Linked DNA regions of Oryctolagus cuniculus. The main gene of each other region encodes a partner of the protein of the gene in region 2 in a complex. Links are inferred from orthologs where the notes say so. Each region holds a gene or a part of one and is shown on either strand. Other genes may lie near its edges. The genes, in order: MMAA and MMUT.

Region 1 (4,560 bases), on a different chromosome or scaffold from region 2:
AGAGGGAGAGAAACATCTTCCATCCACTGGTTCACTCACCAAGTGGCTAAAACAACCGACCGGGGCTGAGCCAGCCAAAGCCAGGAGCTTCTTCTGGGTTTCCCACATGTGTGTAGGAGCCCAAGAACTTGGGCCATCTTCCACTGCTTTCCCAGGCCATAGCAGAGACTGGATCAGAAGTGAAGCAGCTAGGACTCAAACTGGCACCTATATGAAATGCTGGCACTGCAGGCCAAGGCTTAACCCACTCTGCCACAGTGCTGGCCCCAAGGTAGGTCTTTTTAAAATATCATTTTCCTTTAGTTGAAGCAATACTTGTTCACTATAGATTTGTAAAGTACCAGATAAACTAAGTACCTGTACTAACCTCTGCTGATTAAGTTGTCTTTTTGAACTAAGGGATTAGAACATCCTGGCGCAGACTGCACAAGCCGTAGATGACACAGGTCTGGAGGTTACCGTGTCCATCTCCCCCAGCGTAGAGAGGATGGCTCGTTCCTTCTGCGTTTCTGCGCACCAGTCCTGTGCCAGGCATGGTGGTCAGTGATAAACTCGGCCTGCCCGTTACGGGAGAGGCAGACAAGCAGTGATGCCAGCGAGGGGCACAGAGGGGTACACAGCCTCACCCCCGGGGGCAGGAGAAGCCTTCTCAGGGCAGTACCTCAGATGGAAGTCTTGTTTCGCCAACCAGGTGTTAACCTGCAAGGGAGGGATGGGGGGTGGGAGTGTGTACCAGGCAGAAAATACAGAGGCACGAGTGCGAGAACCAGGTCCATTTGGGATCACCAAGAATTCAGTGTAGGTGGACTAGCTGGAATATACAGGCAGTAGCTGTCGGTGGAGCCTTTAGCCCAAGTGCTACGTAAGAGAAGGGAGGGGTGGGAAGGGAGCAGTCGTTAAGGATCGTGTGTATGTCCTGATACGGAGTGGGGTAATCCCCCTAGCATCTTAGCTCTTACATGGTGGACGGCGGAGGTCACTCAAGGGTCACACACAGCAGAGCCCAGGAGAGAAACTGACTGTGGAGGAAGCAGAAACGGAACAGGAAGGAGCTAACCCAGCCTGAGGAGTCACAGAGGTCAAGGGAAGGGTTTCAGCGAGGAAGCTTGTCACCGTGACCAGTATGCGACAGAGAAGAGCTTCAGAAAGGGTTTATTTAAGCTGAGCAATTCGGAAGTCTGATGACTGCAGGAGTGTTCCGGGGTGGTGCAAGAAGCCAAATTATAAGCGTTCAGAATTCTATGGGGTGCACGTCAGTGGAGCAAAGAGTATTTTCATCCCTGAAGTTTACTGGTGAGGAGGACAGAGAAAAGAGATGGTGGCTGGAGACACGAGCAGATGCAAGGAACCCCTGTGTCAGAAGCAGGAGCTGTGTGCGTGCATCGCTGGCGGGAGAGGCTGACGAAGAACGCAGAGTTTGGAGCAGTTGGAGCGCCCTTATAGGATGCTGACGCCACAGGCAGCGGCTTAACCCACCACACCACAGCGCCGGTTCCCGGAGTGGTTTTTTAAGGCTGTGGTCCCCAAAGAGCGTGCTGTAACGAAGCCTACGACCTGCGGTTTCCAAGCTCCGGGACACAAACATCTTGTGCACAGATCCGGAAGCTCAGCCTCAGCAACTGCGAGATCATAATCAGTTCAAGGCTGAAGCCGACACAGTGATGGAGAGGCGGCGCCTCCTGCACGGCAGAGTTTGGGAGCGACTCCTCTAGGGACCACTTCGCGAAGAGCTGATGATTTGGAGATTCCTCTCTTGATCCAAAAAACGGTGAGTCAAACAACACAGCTTTATCCCTCAACATAGCCTACGTTTAAAGAGGGAAAAAGAAGATGTTGAGGAGCTCCTTGTTACTCTCTGGGGCTGCACACTTGTGAGGACAAGAGAGAGGACATTGTCTTCTTCCCGTGGCCTTCACCCATGGACACTGGAGCGCAGCCGCAGCCATCTAGACCTTATTTTCATCCCATGGACAGACTGAGTGACAGGCTGATTTTTAGATATTTACGAGAGAGAGAGAGAAAGCACTGCCAGCCACTGGTTCACTCCCCCACACACCTGCAGTGGCTCCGACTGAAGCTGGGAGCCAGGTCTCGCGCATGAGTGGCAGGAACCCGACTACTTGAGCCATCACGGCTGCCTCCCAGGGTCTGCGTTACAGGCAGTTGGCGGCAGGGGGCAGAAGTGAGAATGGAACCCAGGCTCTCCAGTGTGGAATACAGGAGTCTTAGCAGCAGGGCTAACCACTGGCCCTGGATGTAGAACTATGCTGCGGAGGTGATGGGTAGCAGCGGGCACTTGGTTTAGGCAGACCTGTGTTTCAATGCCAGCTCCATCCCTTTCTAGCCGTGTCCTCTCAGGCAAGTGAATTAATGTTTTACCCTCACGGAGACATAATCGCCACCCTCTCATTGGTGGCTGTGCTGCTGTAGCGATGTACTGCATATTAAAACCTCGGCCCAGAGCCCTACACTAAGTGCTTTATAATGGTGGAAAGTGGTTTGCAGTGGTGACGCCAACCTACAGGGCTTCATAAAAACAGGCGTGCGAACACCAGCAGGTGGAGGTGGCGGGCCTTTGCCCTATCCTGGGGATGTAGTAGATGGTTTGCAATCCAAGAATCCCCACAACAATAATAAGCATAGTGGCAAAGAAAAGCAAGGGAAAAAAAAAAAAAAAGCTGTGCTTCGCCGAGCAGCATAGGGAGTGTTCATAAAACAGAGCTGTCAGTTTCCCTGGCGCGCTTTGCAAGGGTCCCAGCCAAGGGCTCTGGACCGAAGCAGACGGTGGGACTCCGCTGAAAGTTTGTGCGGTGTGCTAAGTGATGGCGCCTTCAGCCTGCTCGCCCACAATGATTTACATTTGCACGACTCTCCCCACCCCCACGCTATAGACTAGCTGCTTGTTGGGACATCTCTTACCCTCCCGGCTCCCGACATTGAGATGTCTTTATTCCTGATTTGATCCGGTTGTTCCACTTCTTGAGGGGATGCCACACCTGAGCTCAGACCTGTGACGCCGAGACTCCCACCATCGGCCTGCGAACGCGGGGGACCCCCAAGGACACCGGCCTCTCCTCCGCCTCATGCTCCCCTGTGCTCCAGGCCACCTGCGGGGCGGCTATGCCAGTAATCCTGCCGTCCACCAGGAATTTGCCGCCAGGGCACGCTTTCGCCACAGCACTGGCCCTTCCCATCTGTGGAGTTCCAATCCCGAATTCTTGTTTATCCCTTTGTAGGCAAGGATTATTTCAGGAGGGGTAATTTTACCTCCTCGGGGCAGGACACTGAGGTCGCTATTCTACTTCTGGAAGTGTAAGCTTCATAACTGGGTGAACTGGCAGCCACTCTGCCCTGGGCGTCTGCCTAAATACACAGCAGATTCTACCGTTACCAGTCACCATGTATTAATAACTCACTTGTATCTAGTAAAACCCATTAACTCATGGCCCTACCAGTCTTCCTCCCTCAGCCCCACACTCCCCTAAATATATTTAGAAACTTAAATTAGCAGAGGTCCTTTGGAGAGGGGGGAGACGGGAGAAGGCAAGTTAACGTTCACAGGATGTGTAATTCTCCTTCAGCATGAGGCATTAAACCTAACACCACTCAGATATGTCTTTGAAGCCAATCCTTCTGTGACAGTGCAACCCTTCACACTTTGAACCAGCGAGACTGCCCTCCCAATGAGCTGTGACACTGGTTGATCTATCTTTAAGGTGGGCGCGGCAGTTCTATAATTATCCCAGCCTGCCGCTTCCACGCCCCGGGAGACAGGGAGGAGAAGGAGGTAAGGGAGAGAGAAAAGGTTTTGTGTCAGAGACCCGTGACCCCCTGTCCCCATCTCTGGGTGATTTCTGGACAGTTCCCCGGATCTTCTGAGGCAAACTTTTCTCTGCAAAATGAGACGCATTCTCTTCCAAGATGTTGAAAGATGAGCAGCCACAATGAAGCGTTTATCACACCCGTGCCCTGGTTCAGGGCCTCATTAAAGTGGTTGCTGTGACTATGCTTGGTGAAGCTAGCAGCGTGATGTATTTTTTATTAATGCATGCCCACAGCAGTGCCCCCTTAGACACATTTTCACTTCCTCTGGTTTAAGTTACCCGAGGTCACCGTCAAAGAATTCCCAAGTTTGCAACTGTATGCCTTCTGAGTGTTGCGGTGATAACCTCATGCAGTCCTGAGCCATCTTGCCTGAGATCCCTTTGCCCACTGAGTACCTGCTGTATGCGCTACCTTCCAGTTGGTCGCTCAGTAACTGTCTGAGTTACCAGATCAGCCATGGCAGTACCACGGTGCCAGTGTTGGGGCAGCCTTTATCCTATTCAGTAAAGGCTTTAGTACAAGAGTCGTGATGCAGAGGAGGCACCTGGGCAGAAAAGGTGCCAGGACGCATTACCCCTGGCACTTGGTGAGCACACTGCAGGGCATGTAGAAATCCACCTGCAGGGATAGGGTTGGGGGCCATTGGCTCTCTTGGATCACACCCGCCGTGGAGAAGAGGGGGACTCTACTGTGTTTGGAAATTCACCATAACCGCTGTCATACTGAAAAACACCG
Region 2 (3,812 bases):
TGCTGCAGCTCACTAGGCTAATCCTCCTCCTGCAGCGCTGGCACCCTGGGTTCTAGTCCCATTCGGAGTGCCGGATTCTGTCCCGGTTGCCCCTCTTCCAGGCCAGCTCTCTGCTATGGCCCGGGAGTGCAGTGGAGGATGGCCCAAGTGCTTGGGCCCTGCACCTGCATGGGAGACCAGGAGAAGCACCTGGCTCCTGGCTTCGGATCAGCGTGGTGCGTCGGCCACAGCGGCCATTGAGGGGTGAACCAATAGAAAAGGAAGACCTTTCTCTCTCTCTCTCTCACTGTCCACTCTGCCTGTCAAAAAAAAAAAATTTAAATAAACCTTTAAAAAAATAATGGCTTATTCCCTCATTATTACTCAGATAAAATGTAAGATAATCTAAATCTAGCATGACATTTATATTTAAAAACTCATTTTAGCTATATTTTGCTGTATACTCATAAAATGGTCCTGTATATTTTCTTAATGGTGAGACAATACCCCAGCTTTACTTACCTTGGTGCAAATTCATCAATTGTCAGGCCAGCTTGGAGTCCAGTTCTACAGTACTCCAATCCATCTGCTACTGTATAGGCCAGTTCCAGGATGGCATCAGCCCCTGCTTCCTGCATATGGTATCCACTAATTGAAATTGAATTGAATTTTGGCATGTGCTAAATAAAACAACAAAAATAAAACAATGAATAAAAATATTAAAAGATTCTATGAAATTAATTTTCTAAAAGCAAATATTATCTTAAAATCATGTTCAACTCTGATATTCTCAGTTTATGCTATCTGAAAATATTTACTGCTTATCTGTTACATTTATTTATTCTCCAATCTATTATTTTTAAAGATTTATTTATATATTTATTTATGTAAAAGGCAGGGTATCAGAGAGAAAGAGACCTTCACTCCTTAAATGAGTGTCCAGGGCTGAGGCTAGGCCAGGCCAATGCCAGGAACCAGGAACTCCCACAAGGATGACAGGGGCCCAAGCACTTGGGCCATCTTCTGCTGCTCTCCCAGGCACATTAGCAGAGGGCTCCATTGGAAGTAAAGAATCTGGGACTTGAACCAGCACTCTGATATGGACGCCAGCATCACAACAGGTGGCCACAATGTTGGCCCACACTCTCAAACTGAACCAATTGATCCATGAACCATCCATCAAGTTTATATCTCTTATTCTCCTAGTGGAAACGAATTAGAGCTAAATATCTTTGTTGTTGTTGTTGTTGTTGTTAAAGATTTGTAAGACAGAGTTACACAGAGAGGTACAGACAGAGAGAGGTCTTCCATCTGCTGGTTCACTCCCCAAATGGCTACAACGGCCAGAGCTGAGCCAATTCAAAGCCAGGAGACAGTAATTTCTTCAGGGTCTCCCACATGGGTGTGGTGGTCCAAGTACTAGGGCCATCCTCCAGTGCTTTGCCAGGAACATTAGCAGAGTGCTGGACTGGAAGTGAAGCAGCCAGGACTCTAACCAGTGCCCATATAGGATGCCAAAAAATGCAGCCCAGGGCTTTAACATAGAAAGGAACAAAAAAATGTCGTTTTCATTGTTAATGTATGGTATGGATTAAATATACCATATACACAGAAAACATGGACCTATCATATGTAGTATATGATTTACACCATATATCCAAAATATAATTATATATTTTACATTTTCAAATATTTAATTTATAATTAACGAAGAGTTTTTTAAAAATAGTCTATCATAAAATCAATGAGGGCATAGAATTGCATGGAATTGAAAGACTCAGTTTAGAGTTTACATATATGAAACAAGGAAACATGTACTTCTCTATGCAGAGGAGGCTACTAGCAGAATTTAGGAATAGTAGAAACAGCAGAACATTGAAGTATTAAAGTATTATTCAACCTTAAAAATTAATCCTGACACATGCTACAACATGAATAAGCCTTGAGGATATTATATTAAGCAAAATAAACTATCATAAAAGACAAATATCATATGATTGCATTTATATGAGGAAACCAGAGTAGTCAAATTCAGAGCTATAGAAAGAATGTGGTTGCCAGTGGCAGCTTGAGGGTAGAGAGGTGAAGGGGGAGTTCTTGCTTACTAAGCACAGGATTTCAGCTTTGAAAAATCAAAGAGGGGCCGGAGGCTGTGGCGCAGTAGGTTAATCCTCTGCCTGTGGCACCAGCATCCCATATGGGTGCTGGTTCTAATCCCAGCTGCTCCTCTTCCCATCCAGCTCTCTGCTATGGCCTGGGAAAGCAGTAGAAGATGGCCCAAGTGCTTGGGCCCCTGCACCCTCATGGGAGACCCAGAAGAAGCTCCTGGCTCCTGGCTTCAGATTGGTGCAGCTCCAGCAGTTGTGGCCAGTTGGGGAGTGAACCAGCGGATGGAAGACCTTTCTCTCTGTCTCTCCCTCTCACTGTCTGTAACTCTATCTCTCAAATAAATAAATTTTAAAAAAATGTTTAAAAAAAAGAAGAAAAATCTAAGAATTCTGGAGTTAGAAGGTGGCAAAGATTGCACCACAATGTGAATGTACCTGATGCCACTGAACTGTATACTTCCAAATGTTTTAGATAATTTTATGTTACATACATTTTGTCACAATTAGAAATTTAAAAAATACAAAGTACTTTAATAAAACATTTGTGGGGGCTGGCGCTGTGGCACAGTGGGTTAACGCCCTGGCCTGAAGCACCAGCATCCCATATGTATGCCAGTTCAAGACCTGGATGTTCCACTTCCAATCCAGCTCTCTGCTATGGCCTGGGAAAACAGTAGAAGATGGCCCAAGTCCTTGGGCCCTTGTAACCGCATGCTAGACCTGGAAGAAGCTCCTGGCTCTTGGCTTCAGATCGGTGTAGCGCTCCGGCCATTGCAGCCAATTGGTGAGTAAACCAGCAGATGGAAGACCTCTCTCTCTCTCTCTGCCTCTCTTCTCTCTGTGTAACTCTGACTTTCAAATGAATAAATAAATCTTTTAAATAAATAAATAAATAAATAAAACATTTGTGGTCTACCTCTGAAGCTGGTATGTTATCACATGTATGAGGGATTATATAAAGCAATTATGAATTTGTTTATGACATCAGAATCTTTCAAACAGTGAAATACCCAAGTATTTAGCAGCACAAACTACTACAGTCTACTCCAATAACCATTCTCCTCTCTCCTGTTGTAGTAGTGGAACCATAAATTTAGAGGGCCAATGTATTAAGAGTTACATGTACAATTTTCTCTTAATATTATGTGTGTCCACTGAGATACAAATGAGACTTTGGGTGTTCCTCCTGCAAGCCCCCTTTAAATTAGAGGTGTGGGGTCCTTCTCTGCCACCAAGGAGGTCCACCTTCTCCCTTAAGCACGAGCTGAAACTCTAACAAGAGAGGACAAGAAAGTTAAAAGGAGGATGGAACCCTGGTAACTGTTGAGGTAGCATATAAGCAAGCCCATAACCTACCCTCTGATTTTTTAAAAGAAAGATAATTAACTTCTAAATAGTTTGAGCAACTGCTATTTGTGTTTGCCATATATTCCCAAACAAAATCTTCCTGTGTAAATGTTCTTGAAATCTAAAAAAGTGATAAGAAACAAACAATTCTATTCAATACGCTCATGTGGACAAATGTAATACATGAAATGAAATAAAACTGCAAAGTTGTAAAGGCTAAATATTAAATGTGGAGTGTAGCCAATGCTTGCAAGAGTTCTGAGTTAATAATTAAAAGAAGGCAAGAGATAAAAAAAGATTTGATGGTGCAAAGATATTCTCTTTGCCATGAAGTATTGGGCAAACTTTAAGGTAGGTAAGGAGAAGGAGATCACTGCT

Evidence for each region.
Region 1: the proteins of MMUT (region 2) and MMAA are in contact, whole or in part, in a crystal structure (PDB 8GJU), measured with the Homo sapiens proteins. The link is inferred for Oryctolagus cuniculus from reciprocal best matches to the Homo sapiens genes MMUT and MMAA. Residues at the interface, in NP_000246.2 of Homo sapiens: Lys496, Glu609, Arg610, Glu611, Gly612, Arg613, Arg614, Arg616, Ala635, Thr636, Ala639, Asp640, Gly642, Phe643, Asp644, Val645, Asp646, Ile647, Gly648, Pro649, Leu650, Phe651, Gln652, Glu656, Gln659, Gln660, Val662, Asp663, Ala664, Asp665; in NP_001362573.1 of Homo sapiens: Arg98, Ala99, Ala102, Glu103, Thr106, Glu109, Ser110, Thr111, His112, Ser182, Ser186, Gly187, Gly188, Ser189, Leu190, Leu191, Lys194, Thr195, Met197, Thr198, Ser201, Arg202, Met204, Tyr207, Ile208, Arg209, Pro210, Ser211, Pro212, Arg214.

Annotation. Positions count from the first base shown.
Region 1 is NC_091439.1:19,221,031-19,225,590, reverse strand, and holds the start of MMAA (methylmalonic aciduria type A homolog, mitochondrial), read left to right. Parts: upstream 1-1,628; 5' UTR 1,629-1,768; intron 1,769-4,560. UniProt on the Homo sapiens protein: GTPase, binds and hydrolyzes GTP. Involved in intracellular vitamin B12 metabolism, mediates the transport of cobalamin (Cbl) into mitochondria for the final steps of adenosylcobalamin (AdoCbl) synthesis.
Region 2 is NC_091436.1:120,797,024-120,800,835, reverse strand, and holds part of MMUT (methylmalonyl-CoA mutase, mitochondrial), read right to left. Parts: intron 660-3,812; coding exon 502-659; intron 1-501. UniProt on the Homo sapiens protein: Catalyzes the reversible isomerization of methylmalonyl-CoA (MMCoA) (generated from branched-chain amino acid metabolism and degradation of dietary odd chain fatty acids and cholesterol) to succinyl-CoA (3-carboxypropionyl-CoA), a key intermediate of the tricarboxylic acid cycle.